2 linked regions of the Astyanax mexicanus genome follow. The main gene of each other region encodes a partner of the protein of the gene in region 2 in a complex. Links are inferred from orthologs where the notes say so. Each region holds a gene or a part of one and is shown on either strand. Other genes may lie near its edges.

Region 1 (9,805 bases), on a different chromosome or scaffold from region 2:
CGCGCGGATCCCAGCTCTCTTTCCGCTCGCACCGCTTGCGATGGCACTTCCGCTGGGCTCTGGCGTCAGAAAACACAGCGGGCTGGCGGCCTGGGTCTCTTAGCAGGCTAAGCTCAAGTAGCGTCTGCAGAACCTCGTCCGGTAGCGTGTTTTCTGGCTGATTTCTCCACTGTAGCAGGGTCTGGCGGTGGTAGAACATGTGCACGGGTGTTCCAATGCACATATTTGCAGGAATTAAACGGAAAAAACGACAAATAGTAACACAAAAGCACCATTTAACGGACCCGGAGCGGCCGCTGCGTGTTAATGCGCCGCCATCTTGGGTGAGTCTGAAGAGACTCAAATCTGATTTTGTGCTCAGTGTGGCTCAGATCTGATTTTTTTCAACGTCTGTTTGACCGTGCCAGCTGTGCAGCTATAGCTGTAAAAACAGCAAAAGCAAACAGCCTGGCCTTTTTTCTCCTCTTCGACCCGATCACTGTTTACTCTCCACTCCAGCTAAAGATGCTCCACATATGAGATGCTAACTCATCCATTTCCCTTTATAAAACTATGAGTCGTCTCTCTAACATGACGTTTTTTGTTGTTGGTGAAGAAGGAGGCGTTTATACAAGTATTAATGTGCGCATGTGAGATTTTTCAGGTTCAGGGACAGATTTGTTCACATTAAACAGATACAGCTCACTTACATTTGGAAATCTGATTTAAGCAATGTGGCTGGTAATGTGAACATAGCCTAAGTCTCATTTAATTACACTTACCAAATAGTTGGAAAGGTTCTTCATTCTGTCCACCACACTTTTCATGGTCTTCAGAGGGGGTAAATATATGCTAACCTAAAAAAGCAAGCCAGAGTTACACGTTTAATACCGTGACTGGGAGAGAAAAGGAAATACCACCAGTATAACAAAGAGAGAGGTAATAGAATGGCTGCACTACCAAGAACAAAAGACAAATAATAACAATAATCACAGTTTTGACCCTAGCTATGAACTACCTGCTAAAGACTTTGTGAGAATTCTAATGTTTTTAAGAATCACTCGTTCACCTCAGTAGCACTATAACAAAGCTTATGTGGGTTTGAATGTCTACTGTTACTGATAATGCTGTTATAAGAAAATGTGACATTTATTTTTATTTTTTTTGACAAAAAAAGGCCAGACTGTTGGTGGATCACTTACATCAAAGTCCGGCACAGTAGGTTCCTTAAAGTCGTGCCAAAGTCTTTTGGGAATGATGTCCACAGGGATGTCATGAGTCACGATACGATTGATGGAGGACAGTGAAGGCTAGAATCAAAAGATCAAATAAATCAAGTCAGCAGAAGAAGATAAATGTCTGTTTAAAGATCAGTTGCTACTTCAGGATGAATTTAATCAATACCTTTATAGATAATTGTTTTAAATTACGAATAATCTAATAATATAATAGAAAAAATAACTAACTTTTTTATTGATTTTGAATAAAATGGATTGAACATTTCAATGTGATGCCATGGATGCCAATGATTTAAATTATACACATAATTAAACTCATGTTGGGCTCTTACCAGTTCTGCAGCTAAGGTGAGGCATGGACCATGCTTCTTTGTTAGTTTTATTTTGACAGACTTGGCATTTTGTGCTGTTTTTAAAGCTCTGGATAAGTTCTCCGGTGCAACTTCCAAGCAGATTTCATTGGCGTCTGCAGACACACCCTCCAACTGATATTCCTCAAAGAAATTTACCTAAAAAGAGTAAAATTAGAGCATGTAAGTTTTCCTCTGCTTATCTTTAATTTAGGGCTGCAACTAATGATTAGTTGGGTAGTTGACTAATCTGGAGATTATGTTTCTGATTAGTCAATTAGTCAATGATTATTTCTGCCATGCTCTCTATTTCTGCTTTCTGTGGGTATGGTTCCTCATCTTAGCTTTCTCTGTCTTTGCTTTAAATCGATAAAAACAACTGAACAAGGGACTTAAATGTCCTTTAAATGTCCAGAACTTTGCCCTTTAAATGTGGAAAGGGCTGATAATTAATGAGATAATGTGTAATCTGTTTGGGCAGTTTTGGAGATGCAAGCTGAGTTGCGTGTAAACTGTGTGAGGGCCCCCAGTACTTTGTGTAGTGCTGCAAATTAAAGATTATTTTTTATAATCGACTAATCGTTGCAGCCCTATTTCCCTTTATATCAAATGAACTTTATTTGTAGATTTTTTCTGAATCAACCACATTAAATTAGAGCATGTAAATTCCCTTTGCAGAACTGCATTGTTAAGCAAGTAAGAAAATATGGATGATGAATACAGCACGAGCTGACAAACTCTCAGTATTAGCTAAATTATCAGCCAATCACATATTTTGTCAAAAAAAAAATCTGATACTTATAAAAAGTGGATAAAGTTTTCCATCTCTAGCAACTACAGTTGTAACACTTTCGCATAATAACATCAGCTTAATCACTTTAAACTCACCTGTAGTAACTCACACCACATGCTGACTCCCCCATTGGCCACTTTTCCAGAAAGCACAAAGTACATGTTGTCTACAGTGAGCCTTAGCACACATGTCTTTGTGAGTTTTGTAATAGTGTTCACCACACCTGTAGAAACATTTATAGTGGGAATAAAAGCAATGTAAGAAATATATTTCACAGATTTTTTTTGAGATACAATATTTAATTTTTAGTATGCTTCACTGAGGAATTAGAGGATTGCACCAAAGCTTTATTGGAGGTAGTGTTGTAGCAAAAGAGGTAGAAACATAATCTTTGGTAGCACTGATAGCAATAACACTGACAAAGCAAAAGCAAAATGACAGTATTCTGACTCAAACTGAGCAAGGGTGCCGGAAAGGTGGTTTTTAGGTCAACTGTAGAGTGAATGTCATTTTACATCGATTTAACCCAATTCACAATATCAAGCAACTGGAGAAATTGTCTCTGCTGTGTGGATTGCTGATCATCAAAAACTTCACCTCAAACTCCATAACTCCCGAAAGGTACTGTATGGAGAACAATTCTTCTAGAGAACACGGTTCTGCCACTGCCACACAGCTCAATACAGCTGGGGGGGGCAGTATACACCTCTAGTCCACATCTGCCATTAGGCATGGTACCAATAGGTTCAGGTATAACTGCTCCAGCAGGCGGCACTTTTCTTCTACAGGGACTAAGAAAACTATTCCAGTTGAATCTACCTCATGAAGACACTGAGATTAAAATACCAAGAGTGTGCAGATCTGTCCTCAAAGGTAAATGTTCTACTTAGAAGAATCTAAAGTATAAAATATATTCTGGTGTGTTTAACACTTTTTTTCTTTACTAAATAATTCCACACGTTTTTCTGTATAGATTTAACGTTAATACTGTCTTCTAGGGGTGTGCCATATCGTATCATACATGATAATATCGCCAATTTTTTTTTATATCGTGAACGATATTATACTCTGAAATATCGTGCCATATGACCCACCCCTAATTATCATATCATAGTACTACTATATCTACTATAGACAGATTATATAACTTAATCCTGGATATATGGAGATATTTGGAGTGCTTTGCTAGTATCATGACATTCTGAATCATTCTGTTACAAATCTGATAAAATTCTTTTTTATTATATCTCAGATAGCCATATCATATTGCATGCAATAATAAAACTCTAAATATTTTTTTTCTAATTCAGTGTTTTGTCATATCATCAAAAGTATCGTTATCATGAAAATACCATGAAATATCGTGATATTATTTTAGAGCCATATCACCCACCCCTACTGTCTTCTGTGTTAGATTTAACTTACAATCTAAAAAAAATCAAACATATTAAATAAGAAGAGGTGTGTCCAAACTTGTGACTGGTACTGTAACCTATATTTGACATGGAACAAATATCGGTGTAGTTTAGTTAGCAAGCTAGGTTATCCAGATATCCAGATCCACTATATCCATGAACTATCTACACTACTTAGCGTTACAAAATATTTAACGTGAGCTAACCTAAATATCTGAGGGCTAAGAGACACAGCTAGTTAGCTAGCTAGCTTAGCTAGCGTATCTATGCACTTATACACTAAAACCGCGCAACTAGAAACTCGTACAGTCAGTTTTACTGACGGTATCTATCTCTTTACCTACGTGTGAAATGGTTGAGACATCCCACGTCGTTTATCTTCGCTCGAAACTTCATAATTATGCCTTTAACTCAGTAAACCCGCACTGCTGACACTACTACCCCACAACATCTACTGCTACTACTGACAGCCCGCCACTGATCTGAACACAGCAGCGCTCCCTCTGGAAACAACACTCTGATCACTGGTTCCGCTCCAGTTACAGCCTACACATCAGCTCTGTTTTTAGAGTTAAACCAGTTAAATATATTATCTTTACACAAATCTACTGCAGTATCAATTCAGATAAATTATACTATATATTATACTATATATATATTATACTAAATATATATTAAATGTATTATACTTATACATTATACTTATAACTTAAATCCTTTTCCCAAAAAAGTCTACCTAGATTACCTAAATTAGTGTTTTTTTGGTTGGTCTTTTAAGGTTAATGATGAAAACAACCTTTATTAAAGCCTTTCAGACCTGATGAAAAAAGAAATATAAATGCTGTTTCTGTCTGTAATGTGCTCAAAAACAGGATTCAGTGAACAAATACACAAAATAAAAAATAAATACAAAATAATCAAATATAATGTTTGTATTTTTTCTGTTTATTGCCGTCTTTGCTAAACACTTATTTGTATTTAATATATATTTTAATATAATATATATATATTGTAACATGGTATTAATTTTTTGTCCAACAAACATGGTAAAATATATAAATAAATCAAATTATAATCTTTGAGCAGTAAAATACCCATAACATGATGGGAAAAGGTGTCTAATTTATGGCCATATTAGCTGGAATGTTAGCTACCATGTCATACTTCAGTGAGCAGATTTTTATTTTTTCCAAATAAGTGGGTGGGGCTAATCTGCTGTTTGATTGGCTAGTAAAAATGTCTATTCTGAATAATATAAAATCAAATTAAATCATTTTTTTTATTTGTATAGTGCTTTTTACAGCTGTTGTTGTCACAAAGCAACTTTACAGAAATGTGATCACAGGACAGCGAATCAGGCAAAATATAAAACAAAAAAAATACAGAATACAGAACCTCCAGTGAGTGCGGAGGCAAGAAAAACTCCTTCAGAATATGGAGGAGAAAGAAACCAGGCCTCACATATAAGAAGGGACCATCTTACCATTGGTCAGAAAGCTTTTAAATGAATGTTAAAAAGACATCATACAAACCATGAAATGTCTTGGGTTCATAGTACTGTCTGCAATCAAATAGTAGTTAAAGAAAAAGTGTGAAACAGTGTATTTATTTTTATTTGCACTTGATTGGTTTAGCATATCTTGAGGACCAATTAAACCGATATATAGAACTATTATTTCTATGAATGAGGAACTTAAGTATGGGTCTAAAGGGTTAAACACTTAACATCTCTCAAATCTGAGTCAAGTATGCTGTCCGTGGCCATTGTGTTCTGTTACACAGGATTTCACAGTAGCAGTACACAGTAAAAATACACTGCTGGCTCTACTTTATGCTGAGACTCTGTGATTTAATGTTCCTCATTAAATGTGGCAGCAGAGAGTCCCCTTTTTCACAGGTTATAGATTTGCTTTATGAGATGTTGAAATACAGGTTGTTCACACAGTTCTGCTGGGAGTCACATTTTACTGCATATAAAAGTGTGTGTGGAGGTGCTTCACTTGATCCATTGAATAGAAAAAGGCATTTAAATGCAGCAGCAAAAAGCAATATAGAAAAGAATAAGCTAAGATATATTTACAAGAAAAAATACAACGCAATAGAAAATGATATGGTATCTGCAACAATGAGAGGTCAAGTAAAACATGAAACAAGAGTTTCAAGAGTGAAATACTGAAAGAAACGTTTCTAGTGTCTAGAAGTTTTGACTGCAGGACCTTTCTGAGCTGATCATGGTATAATGTGTAAGAAACTATTTTCTCTATATGCTTCCTAGTACTGGAGGTGTTCAGAAGAAGCTGGGTGAAACGCTTACCAGCACGTCTTTATTGCGGCCTAGTGACCACAATCAGGCCCATTTCCACCACAAAAATATAAATACTGTCTGGATGATACAGGGATAATTTATGCACTTGTCTAATTTTGTTTAAAGATTTATTTAACACTTTCTGTAAATCCTATAAACTTGATTTTACTTCTCAAAGATCACTGTGTTCATCTGCTATATGATATTTATCTGAAATTGCTGATCAGAACAACCAATGATTTTTAAAGGAAAATCATAAAAATTATCAGAGGTGCCCAAATTATTCATACCACTGTATGATTAAAAATTATATCACAATATTTTTGGTCACATTTTTTACATTTTCGGATGATGATATATTTTTTTATTAATATGAACAATATAAAAGTTTTAGAAAAACTGCCAAGAACACCCACATCTTTTCGAACAGTATTTTTGCCAAATCATGTACTGCACCCTGTAATGAACATCAGTCAGGGACAGATGCTGTTGATAATTTATATATATATTAAAATATAAGAAAATCATATCACTGTTATTAAAAGATTTTATACATAGCATGTTGCTATGATATTATTTTTAGGTGTTTTTTGAGATTTTGAGAGGTTATGTTGAGTCTGCTTTCTTGTGCGTTTATACGCTTTGGAGATGATTTTTACAAAATGTTTGTTTTTTAAGTTTTTTAAGTTTTTTTTTATGTTATCCAGAGAAAATGTCATTATTTTGAAAAATGGTATTCTGTACTGACACATCATGACTAACTGACTCAGCAATATGTTAAATCCAAACATTTAAAATAATTAAAGGAGAACTCTGGTGTGAAATTGACTTTGGTTGTAGTAAAGCTTATTAAAGATTACTAACCTTTATTGAATTTCCCACTCTGTTCTCCTGCAGCTTTTCGAAATCCAGCAATTTTGATCTATTTGTCCAAACACCCTTTAAACAGGGTGATATGGGGCATATTCTTGCCCCTGCAGATACATTGCTTTGCTTTTTACACCGTTATCCAGGCTCAAAGTAGCTCCACACCTCATTGGTAGAATCAGGAGAGCCTTGATATTTAAAACGATGAGGCATTAAGAACTTATTAAGAACTGCACAAGAAGCTTATTAAAAACCACTGTTTACAACCTGTAGCATAACCGACATCTCTGGACGCCGCAATCGTAAAGTAAAATCATGATCAGTAGAGTGACGAGCACTACTGATTAAAATATACTTTCTTTGCAAATTTTGTGTTTAATGTGAAGGATTGTAGATTTTTATCTTAAAGGACACAACAGTCACATCCTTCAGTTCCTCAGCAATGAAGAACATGTTTATTGGCTTCATTTAAAGGATTCTACTGAACAGAACAGCCTACAGTGACGCAACAGTGAGGAGATGCAGCCTTTCTGATCTCCAGCCTGGACTCCGGCATGCAAATAACGTACAGCATAAAGCCGAAGGTCACAACACGAGCAGGTGCACAGCATCCAGTTCACCATCCCAGGAGTGACCTGCCCCTCTATAGGCTACCCTGATTGGTCACTGTTGCTATGGATACCAGTCCACCTGCACTGATTTAATGCACATTGGGCAGACAGTGACAAACTGGCCAGTTACCGATCTCCTTCACTTCTTTAAAAGGCCGCTACTGCTGCTGGAACTGTGTTCTTAAATCAGTGAGAGATGGAGCAGCAGCTGCGGAAGGAACCCTTCTGAGGTCATTTCAAGATCAAGGATTTAATATGAATGTGCAAGAAAATGTGCAAGTGTTACACGAGAGCCTGAGATTACATCTAAGTGTGTGTGTCTCACAGGCAGTGAGGAAGGGAATGCATTATGCACATGCATTACCCTCTGTGGCATTTTATTTTCTATTGCTGTGAGTGAACCTATATCTTCATATTGCATATTACATTTTGACCGGGTGTGCATGTCAACTTAGAACTCATGTAAGAGTCACATATGGGCTAATTAATTTGAATAATTAATTAATTAAAAAATAATAATTTAGTTAAAAAGGCTATAATATGTTCAATGAGAATTTATAATTATAGTATTTTCTAAAATGCATAACTTAGTAATGTAAAACTTTTACAGAACATTTCTGTATTTTTGGCTTCCATCAGTAATATGTCGTTTCCTCTCATGCATGTTAGTAGCCAGATTGCTGCAACAGAGTTTTTAACCGAGCTTTATGAGTCAAGTGTAATGTTTATCTTTGATTTTTATAAGGGAACTTTAAAAAGAAGTTTTTGACTCTATAGTTTTATTTTTGTTTTGTTTCAAATACTGGTTGTTAGACTGACAGTGGTACAAAAAGATTTACACATTTCCACTACAGCTGATCTCCTGAAATTAGGACAGCTTTAGCTAGTATCTAGTGGTGTCAGCAGTAAAATACTGTACATATGTATGGATGTAATTTTCCAACATGATAACAAACACAAACACACAAGAAGACAACTGCTTTACTGAGGAAGCTGAAGACAAAGGTGGACTGAAGTATGTCTTTAGATGTAAATCCCAACTGAGCACCTCTGGGGCATCCTCACACAGAAGGTGGAGGACCGAAAGGCCTCTATCATCCACAAGCTCTGTGATGTCATCATGGAGGAGTAGAAGAGGATTCCAGTGACAATCTGTGAAGCTCTAGTGAACTCCTTTCCCAAGAGAGTTAAGGCAGTGCTGCTCTACTCAGTTTTCTTGCCGGAGTTTAGACATTAATGGCTGTGTCTTGAGTTATTCTGAAGGCACAGCAAATTTACAGTTATACAAGCTGTACACAAAGTACTTTACATTGTATTTTCAGTGTTGTCCAATGAAAAGATATAGTAAAATATTTAAAAATATGCTAGAGGTGTACTTACTTCTAAGAAATTATGTATGTATATATGTGTGTATATGTATAGTGATAAAAATAGACAGGTCATTTTATATAGGAAAAACTTGCAGGACAACTCATCTTACAGGAGAAACACAAACCATATTTTCCTGTTAAATTACATCCTCAATTCTAAGTTGGAGTGCTGTGTAAAAAGTAAAAAAATGTATATAAATGGGTTTATTCACAATAAAACATAGAACATCAAATGCATTTTACCATTTTATGAGAAACATTACAACATTTAGAAACAAAAATTGGTATAGAAACAGCATTTTAAATTGACAGAAAAAATGCACATATATTTACCAATCTACAAAAAAAACTGCACCTAAAAATTGTGTAAACAGTTTTTGAAAAAAGCATTTTAAGCATCATGCACTCGTATGACAACAGTGGCACAATGTTACATTAACATTTAAGATTATTTATAATAATAATACAAACCAATGGCAGCCTAGTAAACCACATTTACTATTCAGATTGTTTGTGTTTTTATTTGTACTGTATTTCTTTGCAAATAATTTCCTTTTTTATTGTATTTATTACATGTCCAGTTCATGTTTGTGGAGATTAAAATGCAATATCAAGTCATGAAGACATTAACACTCTGTCCTCACAGAAATGATATTTTATTTCACAAGCTGCTTTCTGCTCATTTGACACAGTAACCAGGTGCTATCATTATGAATTTATCAAGCTACAAAGCGTGGATCTCATGAGGGTAATGTCACATTAAGCTTCAGCTTCTGTCTGCTGAATAAATTATACAGAATAAAAATCACTGTAACCCGTGGGGTTAAAAGGGCTCAGCTCATTTCATTCAGTCATATTCTAATCACCTGCTCATCAC
Region 2 (10,399 bases):
GGGAGGTTGATTAATAGAATTACAATTTTTATGCTATTTTCAAAATGGGATAATGAAGATTGTACACCTTTACATACAGAAGCTGTCAGATGGAAATTTCAGTAGATTGTGCTTCTGTCACAAACCTGTCAAAAATAATTTTTGTGGCAGTGATTTTATTTTTTTACAGTTGTCCTTAACTGAAATACAAGGAGGTTATGTTTGCACTGTGTTTAACATAAAAACTGTATGTAAGGTTGAAGGTGTCTGCTTACTATTCGTAATAAATAAATAAATAAATATTTTGAAATGAAATGTAAAGTAAACAATAACCCATGCATCACTTTATTTGGTGCTGTTAAAAAAAAGTTGGTATGTAAGAACTAAAAATCTAAATTGTAATTGAGAATTGCTTTTTAATTTATTTTTTTTTACAATATCACACAGCCCTAAGCTAGTCTGCAAATACAATCTACACACACATATATATATATATATATATATATATATATATATATATATATATATACATAAATATATATATATATATATATATCCCTGAGATAGATATAGCTCAGTCTAGACACTCTGGAAGCATCAAACAATGACCTTGTTGGTGTCAGGGAATTAAGTGCCAAAGGTAATCTTAACAGGTTTTATGTGAGAAACAAACCTAGATTGGGTTTCCCAAAAGGTTTTTTTTTAGCATAAAAGTAATTCCTAAGCCCTATCCAGACAGAATTAGTTTCTTTTTTTTTTAAACGCAAGGTGCTAAACTCAGATGTGGATCCAGACAAAGAACTGGATGGAGTTCAGCGAAAAACATTAAATCAGCCTGTAAAAAAAACACATACTTGGTCACTACAGATGGAAATAAAATCACAGAGGACCTCCATAAAAGATCAAATTACCCCAGGACCCCCTGAGAAACTAATCCTGTCCAAATAGGGCTTTAGATGGTCAAGCGCACTTCACAATGAGCACTCTCTATCCATGTTAAGATGTTCTTAACACGAAGATGCTTTTGGGAAACTGGGGCCTGAACAAGACCTAAACACACCCGCCTCTACAAGTCATGTTCAGAAACCTAAACCCATCCTGGCTTAAACCAATCACAATCACTGCAGCACAATGAAATAATTAGCAAATTACATCCCAAACAAGAATCAGACCTTGTCTGACCAATGCACTGGACTACAAAGGGTAAATGTATGTAGCTAAAATTGTATCAAGATACGATCCAGACGAAGTAACCCCAACAAAAACGCTGTCTTTGTCTCCTGAACAACAAAATAAGCAGGAACTCTCCCAAACCAATCACCTGCATCATCCTCCAAGTGATTCCTGAGCCACACTCGTTCTCCATTCACAGACACATTCACTTCTTCAAGTGATGGAGGGAAGTGCAAAACTGTGTCCACCCACAACCTGCAAACAGGAGAGGTATAATCAATCAAAGAGGGCCAGAGAGAAAAGAGACACTGGTCAGAAAATGATGCCGTGATGGAGAGTTTTTGATAGAGGAAATAGAGAGACTCAAAGAGTAGTGCAGACCTGGGCTGGGCTCGCAGCACGTTAGCACAGTTCTCCTTGTCAAACACTGCTTGTAAGCTCTCGCAGTCTTGGAAGGAGAGGTTGTGTGTCTTCAAAAGCCCTGAAACACACAGACACACACAAACATAGGTACATCTGATATATTTTAAAGGTGGCAATTCCTAATGTTTATGGTATATAACCACTTTAAGTCTCTAACACTACAATAACTTACAAACCAAACTGCAGCTACTTAGCAGTATGCAATAACAAATTACATAATTTTTACATAACTTTATTTTTACGTCTGACAAAAAACATGTAAAAGCATGATAATGTGTGGATTTTTACATCCCAAGTACATATGTGAAGTGTTTTTACCATGTTTGCAGTGTAAAGTGACAGTCAACCGATTCTTCTCACTGTTCAGTTCAATACGACACTTCTCCACCGAGCGCTCTAGAGAGGACAGAGACCTAAACACGGCCTGCATGCTCTGTAAGGGAGAATAAGAGAGACAACTAATGGCCTGCACAAGTTGCAATTAGGACTGTCGCATAAACACATTTTTCAGGACGATATATTGTGCCAGAAATGATTGAGATAAATGATAATATTCTCAGTATAAAATGCCACAACAGAAAATGCTTTTTCCCTGCTTCTGGGCTCCCAAAAGAGCCGGCGAAAGAGCAGCACAGCGCAACTTGCTGAATTCTAGCTGCGGTTTATTCTTATGTTAACAAACCTATGCGAAAATCCAATGACTATTATCGACGATCTGCAAAAATGATTGCGATTTAAAAAATGATTGTACGATAAGTTGATAACGTAGTTATCGCGACAGGCCTATTGCAATAGCAATAACGCATAATGTGCACAAGTATTTTGGATCTAAAACTTTAAAAGTCAAATACTGCAGGTTTTGTGCATGCATAAATATTAGTCAAGCACCAGTATGGAAATTTTAGGCTAATGCTGCAAATACTATATAGAAGTGTTTTTTTTTTAATTGGTTCAGTAATGATTAAACAATTATTAAGCAATTATTTGCCAATATCAATATTGCTTTGATGTTATTCTATATCCCTTGTCAAAAACAACACATCATAATGTGTTTACTCAGACTGTATCTGTAACAGGACTGTAGGACATCTACACAATTTTGGTCAGATGTTTCAAAACTTTCAATCAATCAGTTAAACTGTTAATCTGTTAGAACAGTTTTTCGGGATAAACTACAGTGGAAAGGAAAGTGTGGTTGTTACCTTTATGGGCATTTTGCAGCGGAAGGCATGGTCAGAAGGGGCCTGATAGCGCTGAAAGAACAGCGGAGAGAGCAGAAAGCAGGCAAAGGCTGATCTAGAAGAGTTCACTGCACGCAGAGTTAACTGTAGAATACAAAAACAATTAATTAGCACTTTTAACCAAACTACAATATATTCTTGAACCACATTCACTTATACAGATACACAAACACTAACCCCATCTTCAACAGGCTCCAGGTAAAGTTCCTCTCCAATCTTTGAAAGTGAGTGGATTGCTTTTGCCAGCACTGCAAAATACAAATGACATGACCTTAAATGACATACAAAGATACACACTGAAAACACCAAACACTATATAGAGATATATTATAGATAAAATAATTTTTTATTATTTCCTATACAGCAAATAACGTTTAATACACTTTTTTAAATACATGCTTGTGCCATCAGGGAAGAAAAAAATCCATTGATGGAAAGACCTGGTCTATATTCAGTATATTCAGGAAGTCAGCTAACCTCATTCTTTCAGCACATACCGTTGCTGAACCTATACCTTTTTTATAATCATCGGCATCAATTAATATGGCTAATATTTTAGACCAATACTTGACGTATTTATTGTATTCCGGAAAGAACCACATGACACTGGCCGCACTAATACATTTGGCCAACAGTGGCTACGCTACTATATTTAAGCTAAATTGCTACCCTCTAATGTGGGCCAGTAAGTCAACCAACTCTGTTTAAATGTTCTAAAACAAGCCATCAGTCAGGCTAATGCTAGTGACAAGTTATATTTTACTCTCACTCAATGTTACTAGAGCCTGTTTTGTAAATATATTGCTATCTCACTTGCATTTAGGGATTTTTCCGTTCTTCATTAAAGAGGCACTAAGGCCTAAACCATATTTTTTTTTCATTAGTAGCTGAAATGAGTTTCTTTAAAGTAATGAAACATACCGGTCCTGCCTAATTTTTTTATAAACCTTCCCTAACCTTTAAATGCTTTTATTGCACCCTTGCAATTTTGTAACGTGGACACTCTCGATATGCAAATTAGTCAATCAATAAGACACATTGCTCAGCCTAATCAGCCCTCCCTTCTGCCCCACCCCTAAACCCATACATCACCAAATGCCCCTCCCAAACTACTCCAATTTTTGGGCATTTTCCAAATTTGAGCTGAGGGGTACAGTCAGCTAAAATCAGGGGGTTTAGTTCTCATTTCCTTCTGAAAAATGGAATTCATGACATAGAGGGTTAATTGATAATCTAGTCTCTCTGTAAATTATAAATGTGTATATTATTAGTATTGACAGATGTATTGCCACATCGATGCATCTCTATGCTATTAGGGCTGCAGCCATTAGTTGATATGTTATCGACAATGTTGATTATAAAAAACGTGTAGACTTCAAATAATCATTGTCTACTAATTGCCTATTAGTAACACTAAACAAATTACTGTGGACAGAAACCCAGTGGGAGAAGAGTACTGAGCTCACACAGCTTACACAGAACTCGACCTGAGTCTCCAAAAGTGCCCAATAGCAGCACTTTACACATTTATCCAAAGCTCTGGAGATTTAAACAGCATTTATATCTTGTGTTCAGATGTTTCTATTATTTTGAAGCGATAGAGAAAGCTAGAAACAGAAGCCATACCCACAGTGAGCAAAGCTAGAGGGCAGGGCAGAAATAATCGATAACTAATCTGAAAAATAATCGTCCAATTAATCGACTACCAAAATAATCGTTAGTAGCAGCCCCACAAGATTTAATATAGAGTTATCTGAAGCAGTAACTGCAGCTTCACCGAGACCAGGTTCACCGCTTACTTTACCTTTCACGTTCCCTCCTGTTGTGACGCAGTCCATCCTGCTATTGCTGTAGCGTTCAGGTAAACCAGTCCAGTCAGAGATTCGGCTCCATTAATCCGGATCAGGTAAATAAACACCATGCAGTAACTCTACAGTGTGAACAGGAGAGCAGAGCTCATACCCCGAAGGAGGAGACCCGCGTGTTCTCATGAGAAGCGGTGAGTAAACACGCCATGCTGAGAGAATATCTGGGTGTAATAATAACAGTAAAACAGTAAATAACTACTAATATTGATCTCAGAAACTTAGTTAAACACTGCTGTCAGTTTACAGACCCCTGAGTCGCGCGCTAACCTCGCCCGGACCAATCACAGCGCTCTGAGTCATACTCGCGCGCCTGTATCGGCTACCACAGCTTGTTTACAGAGAGCCTGTCCACTCCAGATCACCCCTGATATATCAGAAAATTACTGTGCACCGCTAGAGGGAGTCCTACATGAATACAGGTGAATAAAGCTACACGGTTAAAATCTCAAATTTAAAGCAGTTATTAACTACTTATTTGTGGTATTCTTTTAATTTTAGAAAGTAGAATGAATATTTCTCTAAAGAGCAAATAAAACATTTCTGTATGTTTTATTTTTATTACAAAAAACGGTTATAATCACTAAAGGAGCTACTAGCAGTATTGCTACTGTGACTGGGTATGTAGTTAGCTAAACTGATACAGCACTGAGTTTAAAATGTTTCTAACTAGTTTCCTCAGTGGGTGTTCCCTGTCGTGAACCTAAAAGTGAACCTAACTACCCTAACTGCCCATAAAAATCCTATTTTTTTTTTCATGTTCATTGTGTACTGGCATGAATAGGGGCCCAATGACATTAATAGTGTACAGTGCCCAGAATTTGCTGCTACGCCCCTGCTCCTCTCTCCCTGGTTCCTCCTCCCTCGTGCTTCTCTCCATTGTGTTTGTCTTGCGTCCCAGGATAGCCTTTGTTTACCCTGCCTGTTGTTTTCCTCGCTTATGCCTGGCGTGATCTTTGTTTCCACCCGTTTTCGCTTTACACCCGTTTTTGTTTCCCACCCGTGTTCAGTTTGCACCTGTTTCCATTATGCACCCGTTTTAATTTTCCACCTGTTTTCCGTTTCGCACCCGTTTTCGTTTTCCACCTGTTTTTGAACCCACTTGGTTTAACATTTGTTTTATAAAAAAAAAAAAAAATAAACATTAAACATTAGTTTTCATATTTAGAATGTGTGGTGATGTGTGTTATATGTTTCCATACTACAATACCCAGTATCCCTGGTGGGCAGCTCAGGAGTTGGCTGGGGGGTTTGGCTTCCTTGGCGGGTTAAGTTAGCTCACACTGTACTAGTTAGTGGAAAATAAAGCAAACGTGGAATACTCTATGCATGGTGTTGGAGTGATTTCATGACAGAATGTAATTGGGCTTGAAAACAATGAGTGGAATGAAAACAATGAGTAATCATTTTTTTTAGTTTGAAAAACAGATGAGTCTATCAGTTTAAATACTTGTCTAATTATAGATTCTGTAACTAAGTTCTGAAAGCTCTGCATTTTTTTGTTATTTGCGCTATTTCTGGTTTTCTGAAATCAAATGCTATAAATGGCAATATTTTTATTTTATTTAGAGAAATGTTGTCCATAGTTTATAGAATTAAAAAAAACAATGTTCATTTTACTTAAAGATATACCATATACGTTATATATTGGATTATTCTTCCAATGTATTGGCAAATTAAAACACAGCTCTGGTTTTGCAGTGACAGTGACCTGAAGAAAAAAAATAGAAACAGTGATATACATGCCATAGAAGAAGGAGAGATGTCAACTTGACGTACTCGTCTTTCTTGTCTGTCTGGGTCTGTCTTTAACACACCTACCTATCTGACTGGCCTGGCCTTTTCTCTCTCTCTCTCTCTCTCTCTCTCTCTCTCTGTACACTGATGATTCCTTCCTATAATAGGGGCCAATTCTCAGACACACTTCACTCTTCTCACTCTTTTTGAGAAGCTGAAGCAGAATGTAGAAGGAACTGCAGCAGTGTGGAGGTACCAGGAGGTACTGTGGAGCTACAGTGTGAGGAGTTATGAGTGGAATATAATGAAGAACCTGGAAGTAAGAAAACTGGAAAACTGAAGCATATTGACTTGCTGTGGGATGTGCCTCAGGATTTGATTGATGTGTATGTGAGTATGTGAGGGATGTAGTACTTTGCTGGTATCTGGTTGTGTTGAAGGTCTTTGAGAGTGTGCAAAAAACATGTAAGGCAGGCTTTCACTTTCAAGATGGCCCAGTCGAGCCCTGTTTCAGACACTCAGACCTTGCTGCAGTCAATGCTCCAAAGACTGAAACTCCAGACCCAAACTGAAAGGACACACAACCAAGAGCAAGCTCTTTCTTCAAATGTGAAGCTTAATGGCGGGTCTGGAGAAGGTTCAGCTGTGTACCAGTTTGGTGATTCCATTGATTCTAAGCAGCAAAGAACTTCTCCATCCAATTGGAGACACGTGGGGAGTCCATGGAGTCTTCAAACATCTCGCGAGCCTCATAGTCCTGGGACTTCACCTACATCACCAGAACCTGTTTCTTGGTCAATGAATGATGATGATCTCCCCAAATGGGAGAGAAAGCAACTCAAATTTACTCTGAGAAAGGTGAGTGATGACAGACGTAGCATGTCCTCCACAAACACATTAGAACAGACCACCCTGAACTCCCCCAGCTCCTCAGTCCCACCCCCCACACCACCCACCCCAGGCAGAAGAGCATCACAGGAGCGAAATGGTCTCAGTGGTGTGTGGAATGGAGGTGTAGGGGACTCCAGAAGGGACAGTATAAATGCTGAAGACAAAATGACACAGACGCCAATGACAAGGACCAGTAAGAGGAAATGGGGCAATTCAGGACAGAAGAGATGGACCCAGAAGGTGAAAGAAAGATGGCAGGAGAGACACAAGAAAGAAAGAGGTGCCAAACAGAAAGAGGAACCAAAAGAAGTGCCTAACGTGAGTTTAAACTTTAAGATTCTTGAATCTATTCTTTAATATGCCTTAAAAATAAAGAAATATACATATATACGACGTGACAAATACACTGAAATTAAGTGTACAGCACTGCAGTGGGTGGTTATAATAGTGACCAGCAGTGTCTGGCTAGAATTATCCATGAGAACAAACAAGCTTAATCACAATCACATTCATATTCAATGAAGGAGACCAGACACACATACATGTTCCTCATTAGGTTAATACAGTGTTCTTTAGCTTTAATTCAATATGAAAAATGTAATGGGAAATTATACTAGTTCCTGGCATGTCAGTATATGCATCTACTTACAGAGGCATGAAGAAATTTTGGCAACTCAAAAAGATGAAAGTAAAGATGACCTGAAGTCATAAAATGGCATAAAGATGATATTTTAAGCAAGAATATATTTGTATTTCCATTTTTTTTTTACAGTTTTAAACTTTTATAAAGGAAAAGCACAGATCTAAATGTTTGGGATGCATGGTCAATAGTTGTAAAAGTAAGGAAAGTTTTCCTTACTTTCAACACCTTTTAATCCAGCTAATCTTGTTTCTGTTCTTGTTTGGAGGATTTATGTCCATTCTTCTTTTCAAAAAGTTCTGGTTCTGTGGGATTCTTGGGCTATCTTGAACGTGCTGCTCTTTTGAGTTCTATTTTTAAGTATTTTCTAGGAAGTTTTGTTTGAACAGCCACAGTAAAACCAGCTTGCACTGCTTTGGGGATTTTAATGAAAGTTTGGTATAATTATCCTGCTGTAAAATACTCTATAAAAAACCCTTTAATATCAGTAACAATGTTGAGCTTTTGAATAATGGCATAATTTATTTTTTCAACATGTTTACTGTTGTTTTAATAAATAGATAAAGTCTAATTGATATTTGCTTACTGGATAGGTGAAGAAAGTGAATAAAGATGAATAAAAGATGAGAGTGGCAACCCTTTCAGTCTATTTTAGGCCTTTTATCATAGCCTTCTTATCTTTCAATGATAAATGTGATGCTTAGTAGCATTATCTCTAACACAAGCAATATGAACTTTCTTCACGGACCATTAGAACATTAATTAAAGCCACAAGTGTAGAACAAACAATGTATTGGTAACACAAAACCAAACTGGTTAGGCTTAAATGTTGCAGGTAAATTTGAATCAACATTAGTGGTGATATTACTGCATTTAAATAATTTATTTTTCCATGCGTGCAAAACAATCTAAAAGGGTGACTTATACACCCCCATATTTAACAGATGAAGAAGAAAAATCTGCATTTTTTCCCACTATGCATAAAGATTTTATATCCCAACTGATTAAACTTAGTTTGAAAACAAAGGTGAAAGTTTGCAGTTTACAAAGTTTGTAGAATACAAATAGTATTATCGCGTTTTAGACAACACTTTAAAGCAGCATAAGGTTGGAGGCTTTGGTGAAACTTATGTGAGAACCAAAGATCGACTGGCCATAGGGAGTACATAGGACAGTTCCCGGTGGACTGCTCTGTGTGTGGGCTGCTATAAAAACCAAGCAAACTTATTTGTCATAGACAAATATGAAAGTTCTGTCTTTACTTATAGATGTTTACTGAGACTCTGACTCATACATACGCGCTTATTTATTTAATTTAAGCAGATTTATAATCAGATTTACGATCATTCTTCATTATTTTCTTCTTTATTCAGAGCAACCACTGTCCAAACACCCCAACCAGCCCCAACACCTCCAATGAAAACGCACTCTCCACCAACACTGCTGCTGCACTTATTGACGAGGAAAGGATTGACCAGCACCAGCCAATCAACAATGGGCCTGATAAAGCCCCTCCCAGCCCCCTCGATCACATGAGGTAAATACAAATTCAATAGCAGTGACATTGTTCTGCTGAAATATGAATCAGGCGTATTTATCATACCACAGCTGTCATCCTAAACAACACCGCTGTCACTCTCTTTTCTGAAACCAACACACCCTCTGAGTTTTTGCTGTGTGTGTATGTGTGTGTGTGTGTGTGTGTGTGTGTGTGTGTGTGTGTGTGTGTGACTGAGTAATAGTGGGTGAGGGAGAATGGAGAGTGAGTAATTTAGACCTATATTACAGTAGATACATTACATTACAATACATGTCCATACATGCATAACTTATGCTGTGTTTTCCTGCAGTGAACCCATATTCTCATTTGACTCTTTTAACCTGATGGAGGAGATTTTCACCAGTCAGGAGTGGGCCAAGTTCTTCCCGTCCAGTACCAGCAGCCAATTAGAGCCCACTTGCATCAAACAAGACAAAGCCACAGACTCACAAAGCAATATTAGCCAATCACATCAAGCAGAGCAGAACACAGGAAGTATGTGGGATTTTAAATGGCCACATGCCTCAGATCTGAGAACCGATTCATCACAAATCAGCTCAGACAGTTTACAGCAGGATATGGACACTTCTGACCACACCTCTGACCACACCATGGACCAAACACAGACTCCAGACTTCATTCTGCCCTTCTCTCAAACCTTCCAGTTACTCAAGGACCAATCAGAACTTTTTGACTGGAGTTTAGACCAGTCGCACAGCATGGATTTGGGTCTCAGCCAATCAGAAAATGACAAACAACAAAAATACCAGCCACAGTTATTGCATCAAAACTGTCACATGCATCAAAACTGTCAGCCAAAAACAGCAGAAACAAGTATTCAGGAGTCGCCATCCAATCAACACACTCTGAACCAGTCACAACTGCCTAAACCAAACCAAACACAAGCAGA

What was found.
Region 1: the proteins of rad9a (region 2) and hus1 are in contact, whole or in part, in a crystal structure (PDB 3GGR), measured with the Homo sapiens proteins. The link is inferred for Astyanax mexicanus from reciprocal best matches to the Homo sapiens genes RAD9A and HUS1. Residues at the interface, in NP_004575.1 of Homo sapiens: Leu157, Pro158, Pro161, Val176, Ala186, Lys191, Ala192, Met193, Val194, Thr195, Glu196, Met197, Cys198, Leu199, Gly200, Asp203; in NP_004498.1 of Homo sapiens: Thr84, Asn87, Arg90, Ala91, Lys93, Thr94, Phe110, Ser121, Ser123, Ser126, Arg127, Ile128, Val129, Thr130, His131, Asp132, Ile133, Pro134, Ile135.

The regions. Positions count from the first base shown.
Region 1 is NC_064408.1:108,691,390-108,701,194, forward strand, and holds the start of hus1 (checkpoint protein HUS1), read right to left. Parts: upstream 4,273-9,805; 5' UTR 4,172-4,272; coding exon 4,120-4,171; exon of another isoform or gene 4,116-4,119; intron 2,584-4,115; coding exon 2,456-2,583; intron 1,727-2,455; coding exon 1,550-1,726; intron 1,290-1,549; coding exon 1,182-1,289; intron 837-1,181; coding exon 762-836; intron 1-761. UniProt on the Homo sapiens protein: Component of the 9-1-1 cell-cycle checkpoint response complex that plays a major role in DNA repair. The 9-1-1 complex is recruited to DNA lesion upon damage by the RAD17-replication factor C (RFC) clamp loader complex.
Region 2 is NC_064417.1:22,987,278-22,997,676, forward strand, and holds the start of rad9a (cell cycle checkpoint control protein RAD9A), read right to left. Parts: upstream 4,971-10,399; 5' UTR 4,655-4,970; coding exon 4,621-4,654; intron 3,065-4,620; coding exon 2,994-3,064; intron 2,901-2,993; coding exon 2,778-2,900; intron 2,009-2,777; coding exon 1,894-2,008; intron 1,634-1,893; coding exon 1,534-1,633; intron 1,408-1,533; coding exon 1,301-1,407; intron 1-1,300. Other genes in the region: zgc:113229 (protein starmaker), read left to right, coding at 6,908-7,627, 9,323-9,486, 9,800-10,399. UniProt on the Homo sapiens protein: Component of the 9-1-1 cell-cycle checkpoint response complex that plays a major role in DNA repair. The 9-1-1 complex is recruited to DNA lesion upon damage by the RAD17-replication factor C (RFC) clamp loader complex.